2 linked regions of the Elephas maximus indicus genome follow. The protein of the gene in region 1 purifies or fractionates together with the protein of each later gene. This does not show direct contact. Links are inferred from orthologs where the notes say so. Each region holds a gene or a part of one and is shown in the gene's direction. Other genes may lie near its edges.

Evidence for each region.
Region 2: the proteins of SH3PXD2A (region 1) and FGD1 purify together in Homo sapiens (affinity purification with mass spectrometry; 3 studies listed by BioGRID and IntAct, with this or other methods). This does not show direct contact. The link is inferred for Elephas maximus indicus from reciprocal best matches to the Homo sapiens genes SH3PXD2A and FGD1.

What each region holds. Positions count from the first base shown.
Region 1 is NC_064834.1:55,274,667-55,282,052, reverse strand, and holds the start of SH3PXD2A (SH3 and PX domain-containing protein 2A), read left to right. Parts: upstream 1-4,372; 5' UTR 4,373-4,382; coding exon 4,383-4,454; intron 4,455-7,386. UniProt on the Homo sapiens protein: Adapter protein involved in invadopodia and podosome formation, extracellular matrix degradation and invasiveness of some cancer cells. Binds matrix metalloproteinases (ADAMs), NADPH oxidases (NOXs) and phosphoinositides.
Region 2 is NC_064846.1:113,505,668-113,512,844, forward strand, and holds the start of FGD1 (FYVE, RhoGEF and PH domain-containing protein 1), read left to right. Parts: upstream 1-4,175; 5' UTR 4,176-4,926; coding exon 4,927-5,233; intron 5,234-7,177. UniProt on the Homo sapiens protein: Activates CDC42, a member of the Ras-like family of Rho- and Rac proteins, by exchanging bound GDP for free GTP. Plays a role in regulating the actin cytoskeleton and cell shape.

The sequences.
Region 1 (7,386 bases):
AATTGGAACTGAGAGACTCAGAGCTCAGGCGGAGAGCAAAGTCTGGGTGTGCAGGTGTTGGTTAACGCACTAAAAGTGTGCTCTTTGAGTAAACTCTTCTAGCTTGTGAACGGGCACATAAGCCCGGGGGAGAAGGTCTGCTGGTCTGGGACTAAGTAGCTGTATAACACGGCGTAACTAGCTACATTTCTCTGGGCCTCAATTTCCCCTCTGTAAAATTAGAGGAATAAATAACCTCTCTTGTCTCTTCCAGCTGATTTGAAGCAGTCTGCAATTATATTTTGAAAAATAAATTATGGGTCCTCTTGCCTTATTTATCTTTTTATTTATTTATTTGTATTTTTACAGTTTTCTTTTGTCATTTGAACTTATACATTGTACTTTGAGCTTGAAAACGGATTAGAGTCAACTCTGTTTCAGAAGGAGGTGGTAAAATAGGGGTCTACCTAATCCTCTCCTGTGTCGTTATGAACTCCTTTAGGGCAGATGTTTTCAACTCAGGCCAACCAAAACACCTACTATGTGCCGGGCATAGTGGGAGTATACTGCTCAATGAGACACAGTTCCTGTCTCCAAGGATCCTTCAGCCAGTCTCAGTCAGTTTGATGTGTGCTAGGCACAGTGAGGCACGTGCTAAATAAATGTCTGTGGGACAGAAGGGAATTCCTAAGCACCATGGGAAGGAAACCTGCATGAGACTGAAATGGACCCAGGGAAGAAGATAGAGTCAGTACCACGTTATACTCAGAGTCTCTTGGACATATGGCCCCAGTAGAGAAAAATAACTTCTGTTCAACTAATACCTAGAGATCTTGGCACTATGTGGGGCACTCAGGTACTCCCTAAAACTGAGGTAATCTGGGGGTAGGGGAGGAAGCTGGGAGTACTCAAGTTGTGCTTAACAATAGTGGATTTAAGCTATGCCAGTTGTCTGGGGTTTCTTAGGTAGGACAAAGGCCAAAACACACACATTGTGCTACCAGGACAGTGGGGAGCATGGAGCCCTCTTGCCTACAGATTTCTTCTGCTCAAGTTCATGTTCAGTGTGGATCCCGGTCCAGAAAGTGGAGCGTGAGTGGGAAACCTCTGATATCCACCTTAGATGAGCCAATTGCTCTGACTCACAACGGGACCCAAGGTAGGCTATCTGCCTCCTCTTCTTTCCCTCCAACAGCTAACCACCAGCTCCCCTTGCTAAGGCTTTCTCAAGCTTAATTAGTGCTTCCAGAACTTTTGAGATTCACAAATGGATAGCAGCTGATTGCCATTATGAATCATTTTATGAATCATCTATGAACCTATAGGCTACCTCGAAGCATCATGAGATGTCTTGGAGATGGGTCCAAGATAGGTCAGAGCACTCCCTGGTTCCCATAGCCCAGGCCTTCCTTTGCAGAGGGGAGCACATGCTGAGAGCCTGTCCTGGGTCCTCCCACTTTGTGCCAAGAAAGGCCTTGCTCAGGGGGGCAGTGCCTTGTCTCTACCCCTTCTGATCCCTTAGCCCCACTGCCAGGTCACTTTCTCCCATGCACTGGTTTTCCATCCTCTTCCCAGATAGAGAAGTCCTGTGCCTAGTGCTCAAGCCGCCTCACAATCTGGACCCTCTACCCATCCAACTACATTTCATCCTTATGTGTCTGACCCCCTCTCCTGATCTTTCCTCGGGTGGACACTGTCATCCTGGTCCTCTGTCCATCACCAACTTGTTCATGTGTCAGGTCATACATGGGACTTCTTGTCACTCCGCCTTTTCTTCTCCTCCTGACCATACATTCTTTCCTTCACTCAGCAAATTCTTTTAGTGGGACTACAGAATATAAGATACTGTGCTTGGCTATTCGAGGAGTGCAAAGAAGTATAACACACAGCTGTCCCTGTGCACTGTGTGCTTTCAGAGGAAATGATGTGTATTACAGACAGGTGTCAGAGCAGCTCAGGATAAGTGCTGCTGGACTAGAGGAGACCAGGGGAGGCAGAGGTGCTCCAAACTTTGCAGATCCTCCAGGGCACAGCACAGGGACAGCCTTCTCCTTGAAGCCCTCCTTGATTCCTCCAAGCCTCTATTTCTGGAGTCCTAATGCTTTTTTTTTTTTTTTTTTTTAATGCATACGCTGGTGGTGTAGTGGTTAAGTGCTATGGCTGCTAACCAAAATGTCAGTAGTTTGAATCCACCAGGTGGCCCTTGGAAACCCTATGGGGGCAGTTCTACTCTGTCCTATAGGGTCACTATGAGTCGGAATCGACTTAACGGCAATGGGTTTGGTTTGGTTTTGGGAATGCATGTTTCATTACATTCAGTTTTATTGATGTCCCTGTTTCCCAACTGGATTGTCTGCGCCTTAAGGGAAGAGACAAACATCTGTCAACTGGATTCAGTTTTCAGTTAATTGAATGTTTTCTCCTCTGTAATGCCTTGTAAATAAGCACAGAATAGTAGGTGCTCAACCAATTCTTAAAATTCTACTATTTCTGTGTCCATTTACAAGAGCTTCTTAAAATTCTAGACGGCACTGGGTTTTTTTTTTTTTAATGTCAACAAGCATGCATGCTAATTATGAAATACAAAGATTTAACAAATGTATCCCCAGGAGTAAGTACTGCTAAGAGTTTAGAGTGTTTGCAGGAAGGCATCTTAAAAGATCATCTAGATCAGCACCCACATCTTACAAATGAGACCATTAGGGTGACTGTAATACTCCCTGTGGCATTAACTCAAGTGATTGGCAGAGGTCAGATTTTTAGAGAGTTTGCTAGAGGAATAGTGGGGTTCAAAAAAAAATTTTTTTTTTTTTTCTGTACCAAGCAAACGAGTGAATAAAGTCTTAGATTGGTGCCTGAATTCTGACAGGGCAGTGAAGAAAATATTAATACATTTAGGTCAGAAGACTATTCTCCATTTCAGATATTTCACATTGGTCCACATTCACAAAGCTTTATTGTGACTGTGAAACCATTGAATTAGTTGTGAAAACACTACCCCTTTAAATATTTAAAAGTAGAATGGAAAAAAAAATGTTGAAATAGATGAGGGGAAAAGCTAAATTGAATTAAATAGTAACTATGCTCCAAGTCCAGGGAGCTCGAACAAATGGCTTTGAAAGTTGGATTTCAAGACCAGAGGGAAGGGGTGGTTAGAAAGCCAAGGGCTGGAGCAGGGGACAAGCTGGCCCCCAACCCCGTGGATTTTCCTACCATTGTAGGCTCCTTTCCTCCTCACCCTGGGAGGGTCCCTGGGGAGTCCTGGGCTTAAAGCAGTGGTGTTATGCAGTCTTGTAACCTCACTGGCAAATGATGTCACAGGTTAGTTACACACAGGCCCAGATCGAGGGACGACTCAGGCAACGGATCGATCACATTCCCGAGGAGAATTCACCCTTTGTGACCCTCAAGCGTAGGTGTTTTCTCAAGAGAGGCTCTGCCTTGAAGGATTTAACGCTGGCCCTCACCCCATTCCCATCTCCTCCTCAGGAGCCTGGGCCGTAACAGCAAGGTCATAAACCACTTTTCATTAAAGAGATCAGGGCGATAGGGGTAGGAGGGGGGGCAAATGGGCGGGGGGGGGCGCAAAAAGGCACATATCTTCTCCAAGATGGAAAAACTGGAGACGCCGGGAGCCGGGATGGGGGCGCTCTGGGTTGACCTTCCCCCCAACCTTCTTCCCTTCGAAGCCACCCAGGGTTTCGTGTGGCAGAGAACTAGCCCAGTGCTTCCTCCGCGCCAGGCCGCAGGCTGCGCTCTTGGCTCGGATGGGGGCGCGCCGGCCCGCCCCTGCCTCTGGGTCGGGCTGCAGCCCCCTCCCCGTGCCCGAGCCCCTCCCCCGGTCCCGGAGCCCCTCCCTGCGCGCTTCCCCTCTCCCCTCCCTTCCCTCCCCTCCCGGCCCCGGCCCTGCCTCCGCCTCCTGCGCCCTCAGCCTCCGCCAGCGCCGAGCCCCCTGGAGCCCGAGCGCGGCCCAGAGGCGCCGCCGGCCCCTCCCCGCGCGCTGACAGCGGGCTTGGGCCCCCACCCCTTCCCCCGCCGGCGGGACACACCCCCACCCCCTCCTCGGCTCCGCCAGTTCCCGCCGGACCCACGGGGCGGCGGAGAGCGCGGGCGGCCAAGCGGGCGAGCCGGGGAGCGGGCGGCGAGGCGGCGCGGGCGGCAAGGGGCGCGCGGCAGGCCCACTGGGAGCCCCCCGGAGCGCAGCGAGCTCGCGTGCCCTCCAGGACCGCCCCCCCCCCCCGGGGCCGTACCTGCGAGCGCTGGGATCCCGGGCAGCGGCGCGGCGCGGCGCGCCGGGCCGGGGTGGCGGGTGGCCCCGGGGACTTGGGAAACGGAGTAGCTGGAGCCTGGACGGGATGAGAAGGTGACGCCGCCGGGGGGCGCCACTCGCTTTGTGGGGGAAGATGCTCGCCTACTGCGTGCAAGATGCCACGGTGGTGGACGTGGAGAAGCGGAGGAACCCCTCCAAGCACTACGTGAGTTGTGCCCCCACCTCACCCCTGCGGAAGGCTGGGACCTTCAGGAAAGGCCCCGCCGAGTGGCCTCTCGCTCATGCTAAGTACTCGAGCTAAGTGCCCATAGGGCAGCCGCGTCTGTGGATTTTCTTCGCAGGGCTGTGATCTCCAGGGAAGCCTTTTCTGTCCTTCCTCCACTCCCCCTGTTTTCTTTTTTTGGCATTGGAATTGGCAAGTGGCTGCCCTTGTCTGTTACACCGGTGAAGTCATCTGTCCCCCTGAGCTTTGATGAATGAGGACCCTCCCTCCCCCCAACCGGGGGCGCATTCGTCAGAATCTGCCTGAGAACCTCCTTTGGGAAAAGCATCTTCCTCGGCCCTCCCTGGGGCTCGGGTCACTCGGGCTCACGCAGACCGAGATGCTTTTAGAGGCTGGCTCTGGCGAAGCCTCACTCTGCCTCCCACGTTTGCTCCGGTCTCTGCCTTCCTAGGCTCTGTCTGGGGGCAAAAGGAAGTCACTGCACCCCCTACCCCACCTCCACCCTCAGCACTGAGCTTTGATTTCCTCCGCAAAGTCATTGTGTCCGTCGGCGTGAGGAGAACTGTGGCTTTTCCTTTTATCCTTCCTCTGGACGTGACCCTTAACCGGGTTCATTTCCTCTTAGGTGATGCTCCATCTCCAGACAGGAGGGGGCAAATGTTTGCTGTGGTCTCTGAGGAATGGTCGCCGGCCCTCCCGCTGCCTTTCCAAAACTTAATGAGAAGGGGCTAATGTGGACTGGGCCAAGCTCCGGGGTCTGTGACACGTCCCCCTTTCATCTCAGCCGGTCCTGTCTTCCCATCCTTAGAACCTTAGGAAGTAAACACCGTGTCCTTGACGCCTGGGGTCGCCTGTCTGAGCATCTTTGCTCTCTTACTTGAGAAAGAAGCAACAGACACACAGCCGGGTATCAGTCAAAGCACAGAGGGCTTTGGAACAGCAGGGCTGCATCTTATTTGCAAATTAGGCATTTAAAGAGGGAATTTACAACGCTCAAAGCATTAATTTTAACAATTAAAACAGGCTGTTGGCTGCTGCCTTAGATTGCACATTGATCTCTGAAGTGCCTTTTATTCTCTGTTGGAAGGGGAAGGGTTTGTACTAATCTCAGCCTGAGGCTACTCTTTCTACCTTTATCACCAATACCCCTGAAACTTGGGTTTCTTTACAGTTGAGCCAGTGAGGCTGGGTTTAGATTGAGGAGGAGGTAAACCTGGAGGCTGGTCCCACCACCAGTCAGAGAGCTAGGTTCTCAGAGGGTTATGTTCCCCGGCTTGGTCAGGCAGTTCTTCTTTTTGTATTACCTGGTTGGGCAAGCGTCTCCCACTGCCATTCAGGAAAGCTTCTTTTGGAGGGCTTGGGTAACCAGGTGGCCCTGCTCTGGGGACAGATGTCCGTTTCTGCATTGTCGGGCTGATCGAGTCAGTCTTCCTAATCTCTTTTATCAGATGTTGCAGGCTAAGTTTCTCTCTTCTAGTCCTTGGTTAAGGTTGGCCCTACTTTTAACAGATGGCACTCTCTGCACTGAGACCCAGACACCTGCATTTCTGGCTGTGAATTTCAGGTGAAACATCAAATTTGAGCTCTGACCAATGGTGTCTAAGATTACTGATGCAGGACAGGCTGGCAGCAAGCCAGGAGCATTGCCAAGGTGCCCAGGAACTCACTGTAGGCAGTATCGAGAGGTAGTGAAGAGATGGGGTGCTGGAGTTAGCTGGTCTTGTTCAAAGCTCCTCTGCCACTTGGAAGCTCCGTGAGCTTGGGCAAGTTGTTTAACTTTCCTGGGCCTCTGTTTCCTCATGTTTAAAGCGAGGATTATAATACCTACTTCACAGGGCTGTCAGGAGAATTAAATGGGAATATCTCTATGCATCACATAGCCCAGTTCCTGGCACATAGTAAACACTCATTAAATAGTAACTTATTGTTTCTAATTGTGACTAAGTAAATACTTTTCAAAAGCAGCTATTGATGGTCTGGCAAAAAGGAAGAAAGATTTTGGCTTTTAAGATTGATAATAACTTGTTTTATGTGAAAAATACAAAGGAAGATCTATCCAGTTCCCTTAAAATGTTCATTTCCTCCCTTTTTATGGACACAGAGCTTCCTGGGACATCTCCACTTCCCATGTAGGAATCAATGACATTATGTTTGGGCAGGGAGTGATGTCACTGAACAATTGGGGCCATCCAGAGCTCTGAACTATGGCTCTGGAAAACAATTAAGGGAGAAAGTGTTATAAGCAGTCGAATCCTGGAGCTTGCGGGGACCCAAAGACTCTCTGACTCAACCCTCTCATTTTCAGATGAGAAAACTGAGAACCAAATTGGGTAAAGTCTTGCAACACAGTCAGTCATAGGTCTGACTGGCCTTTTCCCCAGGGTGTGAGTTTTGCTCATCAAATGTACCCTAAGACTGGCAGGGCTTGACTAGGAAGACAAGTATCTGGTGGTATCAAGGTATACACTGGGGTCATTAATGTATAACATAAGGAGAGGGTGCTAAATAATAGTGTTCAGCAATGCCGACAGAGGCAGGAGGAGCAGGTTGGGGGAGACTGTGGTCTCTGAGGCTAAGGCTCACCTCCTCTCCTGGCGCTTTCACAGTGGACACCACACACCAGAAGACCAAGTGTTCTGGGTAAGGCACTCTGCTCTGGTTAGCTGGCAGAACATGCTGGACCCAAGTCACATATGTTCTGGAAGTCCTCTACACTTGAGAATCATGCCTCCTTCCTGCCTCTCCTCCACTGATGGCAAGTTCCGAGTCTGTGGTTTGGTAAATTGCAGGGCAGAGAGGCTCTATGGGATGTGCGTGTTAGCCGGAGCAAGCTGATGGGAGGCCTACGGCCCAAGCAGGAGGGCCTCTGCTGGCTCCAGAACTCTGGGAACACACTGCAAAGGTTCTTTCAGGA
Region 2 (7,177 bases), on another chromosome or scaffold:
TCTGTCTACCTCTGTCCATCTCCACTGCTCACACTTTAGTTAACTCACCTCATCTCTGACTACAGTAGGCCCCTAATCTTGTCTACCTCCAATCCAATCCACAGCAGCCAAAGTAATATTTTAAAAAAGTTAACCAGACCTTGTCAATCCCAAACTTAAAGCCTGTCAATACAATGCATCTCAGCATTTTTTCAACCTACAGAAGAGATACTATTTCATCATAATTCAATTCACATATAATACATATGTGTAGTATATATATCAGAAACAAAATCTTCATGAAACTTAAAACCCATTGCCGTCGAGTCAATTCTGACTCAGCGACCCTATAGGACAGAGTAGAACTGCCCCATATGGTATACAAGGAGCAGCTGGTGGATTTGAATTGCCAACCTTTTGGTTAGCAGCCTAGTTCTTAATCACTGTGCCACCAGGGCTCCATCGCCTATAAAGCCCTACATAATCCGGCTTCTGCCTACCTCTTCAACCTCACATTGCACCACTCTTGCCCTGAGCTCACCATGCTCCAGCCACGCTGCCTTTCTTGTTCTTAAATATACCATTTCTCTTTCTCCTCAGGGCCTTCCCGTTTGCTGTATCCTCTCCTTGGAACTCTTTTGCCTCCCCTCATCATCCGCTAGGAAAGCCTGGTGGCGTAGTGGTTAAGAACTATGGCTGCTAACCAAAAGGTTGTCAGTTTGAATCCTCCAGGTGCTCTTTGGAAACCCTATGGGGCAGTTCTACTCTGACCTATAGGGTCACTATGAGTCGGAATCGACTAGACGGCAATGGGTTTGGTGTTTTTTGTTTGGTATCATCCGCTAGCTCCTACTTGTTCAGATCTGGCTCAAATATCAGGCTTTGCCTGACCCCTCAGGCTAAATTATCTCTGACCTGTTATTCCCTTTTAAAAAATCACCCTGTTCCTTTGTTGCCTTATCACAATTTGTAATTATGTGTTGTAATTATGTGTTTGTTTACTTTGCATCCTCTCTAGCACCAGACCATAAACTCTGAAGGCAGTTTGTGCACCACTGTCTTGTTCTCATCTGTCTTAATCACTACTGCACAACTAGTGCCTCACATGGTTCCTGGCCCATAGTGTGTGCTCAAAAAAACATTCATTGAATGAGCTGATAGCTGAAGAACAAATGAAGTAGAGTTGGGGAGATGTGGACAGGGTTTCAGGCAGAGGCAACAAGAATATGTAAATACTTGGAAGAACAGCCTAAGAATTTCAGCTTTGGCTTGAGCATAGAGTCTGGAAAGGCAGGCAGGGGGCCAGATCATGAAGAGCCCAGCAACCCTGTTAAGGAAGGTAGGTTTCTTCTTGAGCCAGTGGGGACTCACTGAAAGGTTCTAAATATGGGAGTGATGTGATTATATTTACCATTCCAAAAGATCACACTGGCTACAGCATAGAGAGCTGGTTAGAAATGGTACAGGCCTAAACTAGAGTAGTGGCAGCAGAAATGGAGAAGAGACTAAACAAATAGATTTGGAAGATATGCAGGAGGTAGAAATGACAGGACTTGGTGATTGCAGAGGGGGTGAAGGGGAGAGAAGAGTTAGGAATGTAGCTTAGGTTTCTGTTCTCCCTGGAGTCATTCGTTAAGGTAAGGTGCAAAGAGACAGATAGGAGGAGGATGAGTTGAGTTGAGGAAAAGCTGAGGTTTGAGGTTTCTCTGGGATATTCAGGTACAGCTGTCAAATAGCCAATTGAATGCATGAGTCAGGAGAAATATTTAGACTTAAGGTATTAATTTGGGAGTCATCAGCAAAGAGATAATTGAAGCTGTGACAGTGAATGAGATAATCCAAGGAAAGAATGTAGGGAGAGAAGACAAGAGAGCTTGAGCCAAATCCCTAACCAGCACCAACATTTTAAGTGGTAGACAAAGAGGGGCCTGGAAAGTAAAAGGGAATTACCAAGAAGTAGGAGGAAAACAAGGAGGTGGGCTGTTTTGGAAGAAGGAGCGAGTGCTCAACAGTGCCAAATGATACCAAGAAGTCAAGTTTGATAAAACTGAAAAGCTTTTGTTAGGTTTAGTGACACAGAGGCTATGGGGGACCTTGATGAGAGAGTAGTTTTAGGCAAGAAGTGGAGGCAGATTGGAGTGGGTTAAAGGATAAGTGGGAGATGGGAAAATGAAGACAGCAAATGCAGGCAGCTGTTTCAAGAAGTTTGTAGGAAGGAGAAGAGAGATAGTGAGGTGGTTGCAGTGGGAGAATTTTGGTAATTGCAAAGGCATTCGACTGTGTGGATCATAACAAACTATGGATAACACTGCGAAGAATGGGAATTCCAGAACACTTAATTGTGCTCATGAGGAACCTTTACATAGATCAAGAGGCAGTTGTTCAGACAGAACAAGGGGATACTGATTGGTTTAAAGTCAGGAAAGGTGTGTGTCAGGGTTGTATTCTTTCACCATACCTATTTAATCTGTATGCTGAACAAATAATACGAGAAGCTGGACTATATGAAGAAGAACGAGGCATCGGGATTAGAGGAAGACTCATTAACAACCTGCGTTATGCAGATGACACAACCTTGCTTGCTGAAAGTGAAGAGGACTCGAAGCACTTACTAATGAAGATCAAAGACCACAGCCTTCAGTATGGATTACACCTCAACATAAAGAAAACAAAAATCTTCACAACTGGACCAATGAGCAGCATCATGATAAACGGAGAATAGATGGAAGTTGTCAAAGATTTCATTTTACTTGGATCCACAATCAACAGCCATGGAAGCAGCAGTCAAGAAATCAAAAGACGCATTGCAGTGGGTCAATCTGCTGCAAAGGACCTCTTCAAAGCGTTGAAGAGCAAAGATGTCACCTTGAGGACTGAGGTGCATCTGACCCAAGCCATGGTATTTTCAGTCACATCATATGCATGTGAAAGCTGGACAATGAATAAGGAAGACCGAAGAAGAGTTGATGCCTTTGAATTGTGGTGTTGGCGAAGAATATTGAACATACCATGGACTGCCAAAAGAACGAACAAATCTGTCTTGGGAGAAGTGCGGCCAGAATGCTCCTTAGAGGCAAGGATGGCGAGACTGCCTCTTACATACTTTGGACATGTTGTCAGGAAGGATCAGTCCCTGGAGAAGGACATCATGCTTGGCAGAGTACAGGGTCAGCGGAAAAGAGGAAGACCCTCAACAAGGTGGATTGACACAGTGGCTGCAACAATGAGCTCAAGCATAACAACGATTGTAAGGATGGCGCAGGATCGGCAGTGTTTCGTTCTGTTGTGCATAGGGTCGCTATGAGTCGGAATCGACTCCACGGCACCTAACAACAACAACAACAACATATTTGTTTTTACATGAAAGAGACCTGAGCACGTTTAGATGCTGATAGGAAGGAGCAAGGGACGAGCTCTGTAGATTTGGTGGCAAGAAGTTAAGAGTGCCCTTTTTTGGTGGCTTCTGTTTACTCTATGAAGTAGGAGGCGGGGTCATTTGCTGAGGGTTAGGAGTCAGAGAAGTACACCTTTGAGAAGAGGGGAGCAAGTTTAAAATGGCCACTGTGGAGAACGGGGGAGGGAGTTGACTAGGGACACCAGTACGGTCGTAGGTTAGCAGGGAGGGCCTGGAAGAAGCTGGGGACCGTGAGTTTACAGTGGCAGCAATCTGTGCATTGAATAGTTTTCTCCAGCAGTGTTTAGCTGCTTGGAGGAAGGCACGGAAAAGGTGGAGAGCTGGACTGATCCAAGGTTGGAATGTTGCCAGGTGGATGCGACAAACCAGGGAACTGAGGCTATTTATTGGCAAGACAGCGGTGAAGTAAAGGACCACGGGGTCTGGTCTAAGCAGAGTGAGGAGTTATCAAAGACAGGTCCTCTATGAGCCAAGCCCTAGGGAAGCTCTGGTACATGTGGAATGGCTTCTGGAAAAGAGATTGAAGAGAGAGCAGAGGAAGGAAGACCTGAGATGGGATAGAAGGGCAGACTCGGGGGCGGGGGAAAGTTGAGCCCGGAATCCTGTGTGAGGGATCGGGGCAGAATAGAAAAGACAAGCTAAAAGGGAATTTTTGGGAGGCAGAAGGAGGGCCTTGAGGGTGGGGTCCCCGCGAGAAGTAAGGCGGGCCCGAGTGAGGAGGCGTGGCCTAGCGCAAATCCCGGGCGAGGGGGCGGAGCCCGGGTAACTGGGTCCCAGCGCCGCTGTGGCTCCGGCTGTCTCAAAGACAGCTCCCTCCTCCCCACCCCCTTTCTCTGGGTCCTTCCCGCCCGCTGCCGCGGAGACCCAGGCTGAGGCTAAGGAGGGCGGTGGAGTTGGGCCCAGGTGGTTCTCCTGCCTCTGTGGCTGGAACATCTTCCAGGGGTGCTGGCTGAGGGCGAGCCCCGCAGCGCGCGGCGCACAAGCGCGCCCCCGGCCACAGCCAGCCCCTCTTCCCTCCCTTCCCCTCCGCCCCCTGGCTCCCGCTGCGGCGGGAGGAAGAACCCTTTCCGACCAGCCAGGAGAGTCCAGATCGATTCCCGTTCGGGGAGAAAGAAGAGACCCACACTCAGATCCAACCGACCGCTCGCCCCAGGGCCACGGAAGTGGCTTGCCACCCAAGGAGAGCCCGCGCCGATCGCAGTCTCCCGACCCTCTCCTAGCCGCTGCCGCATAGACTGCGTTCCCCAGCGGGCCCCCGGCCGGAGCTCACTCCCGCGCTAGGCCCGGGCCGGCGATGCCTGGCACGGCGGCGGCAGTGGCCGCGGCTGCTGCTGCTACTGCCATCACTGCCACCGCTGCTGGCCCGGACCCGGGCCGGGGGCTTGAGTCTCCGCAGTGGGGTTGAGCCCACAGCCCCGCCCCCCGAGCCTGAGGCCGCTGCTCTGCCCGGCGCCGGGCCTCCTCCGCCCGCGCCTCCGCCCCAGGAGCTGGAGCCAAGCGGGGAGCCCGGGCCCCGCGCCCAGGCCCGGACCATGCATGGCCACCGAGCCCCGGGGGGCGCTGGGCCTTCAGAACCTGAACACCCGGCCGCTAACCCCCCCGTCGCTGCTCTGCCGGCCTGTGCCGACTCGTACCTTGGAGTCTCGGAGCCCGGACTGCCGGTGCCCAGGGGCTCAGCCTCGGCTCTCTGCGGCCCCCTGGATTCCCAGCTTGCCGGGCCCTCTGACGCCAGCTCGGGAGCTGCTCCAGGCCCCAGGGTCTTGCCCTGCAGGCCCAGCCCTCAGCACCACCGGGCCCTTCGCTTCTCCTACCACCTGGAGGGCTTGCAGCCCCGGCCTGGTGAGTGATCCAGAGAGCGTGGGAGCCCGGGCCACCGGTCTGGTTCTGGGAGCGAGTTCTTGGTTAGGGGGCCTCTAAGTCTCACCTAAGAGCCAGCCGGCTCACCCCGGCCCTTCAGTTCCCTCAACCTCCTCCCCCTCCCCTTGCCCCTTGGCCTTAAGTTCCATCCTTTCAACCTCTATCCCTTTTTCCTCTCTCTGACCCCTTGCCCCTCAGCGCCCCCCAGCCCCCTTCTTTTCTGTCTGCTGGGGATAATAGGAGAAGGAGCACACCAAGAACAAGGGGCAGTATTGCAAGGAGCGGTTTGGTTCTGGGAACAAGGGAAAAGGAGCCTCCCATTTGCCAAGCACCTACATTGTGCCAGGCACTGGGCTGGGTGCTTTATGTGTGTTCTCATTTAATCTTTGAGCCCCCCGTGAAGTAAGTATTAGCCCTATTTTGCAGATGAGGAAAGTGAGGCTCAGAGAGGTTAAGTAACTTGTCCAAGGTCACACAGCTAGTATGGAGCCAAGATCTGTTTGAGTCCAAAGTCTGTGGTCTTTCCCCTTTCCCGAACTGAAGTTGAAGACCATGAAAGTAATGCCAGTTCTTCTGCTCATGCGATTTTCTCTTGTAGTATTCAGCAGCCCTGGAGAGTGAGTGGGAAAAAAAGGGTGGGATTGGTGGATTGATCCAAGGTTGGGGTTTTGCCAGGTTTGTGTGGTGGGAGAACAAGGAAAGGAGGGAGTTGAAGGTGTTGAGGAGAGAAAGGTGGAAGAGGTGGGCCTTGGGGGTCAAGCTGGAGGGGAGGGATGGGGGGGCTGGTGGGTAGGAAGACAACAGAAATACCAGGTCAAGGGGGCAGAGGCCAGGTATAGTAGAGCTGGAGAACTGTGTGGGCCATGAGATTGTTTGTGAGCAGAAATCAGGTTGCTTGAACTTGGGTTTGCAGAGGTGGAGTAGCTCTAGGTCAGGTTGGGGCCACAGACCACTGCTGGGGGAGGAGTTTGTGCTACACAGACCTGAGTATCTGAGGAGTCCAGAAGGGCTTCCCCAGTGTGGGAACATTGTCATGCGGGCTGAGCGCATATGTACTCTGCTTTCCACTGGGCAAACCCAGGCTAAGCCTCTGTGAGCCTCTCAGGGTCAGAACCCAGGCTCCACAGGTCTTTGGAACTGTGGCCCAGCACCAGATAACAGGAATGAAGCATAAATCATGGACAAGATGTGCCCCTTGCTGCTGCTGTGGCCCTGGGCTAGTCATGAAAACTCCAGGAGTTTTCAGGGGGCTCCCTTTGTGTGGGCTGGAGATACCCAGCTAACAACAGGCGTTTAATGCCCTGCCCTGCATGTTGCTCTTGCAGGCTTTCCAAACTTCCCTTGACAGACACTGATTGTGTGGAGTGTGCTACTTACTTACTTTACTGCAGCACCTTCTTTCAAATGCCAAAACATATGCCACAAGTGCTCACACCTCAGGGCCTTTGCATTTGCTTTTCCCTCTGCCTGGCAGCTCTTCCCCCAGCTCTCCACCTGGCTTGCTCCTCATCTTTCAGATTTCAGTTCATATGTCACCTCCTCCAAGAGACCTTCCCTGACTACTTTAAGTAGGGCCACTTGTGAGTCTTCATTGCAGCTGCCAGCATGTTTCCATCCTTGCACCTAGTGCAGTCTGAAGTTATTTTATTGTATGTATTTACTTGTTTATTGTCTGTCTTTTTCCCACTAGAATGTGAGATCCCTGAGGGCAAGGGGATTGTATGTTTTGTTCACGGTTGTATCCCTAGTGACTAGCACAGGGACTAGGCGCTCAAAAATCCTTGTTGAACGAATGTCTGAACAGATACCAAGAGAGACTACAGTAGACCCTCAGTAACTATTGTTTAAGAGAAGGGCAGCTAGCATAGTGACTAGGCACACAGTAGGTGCTCAATAAATCCTTGTTGAACAAATGTCTGAATGGAT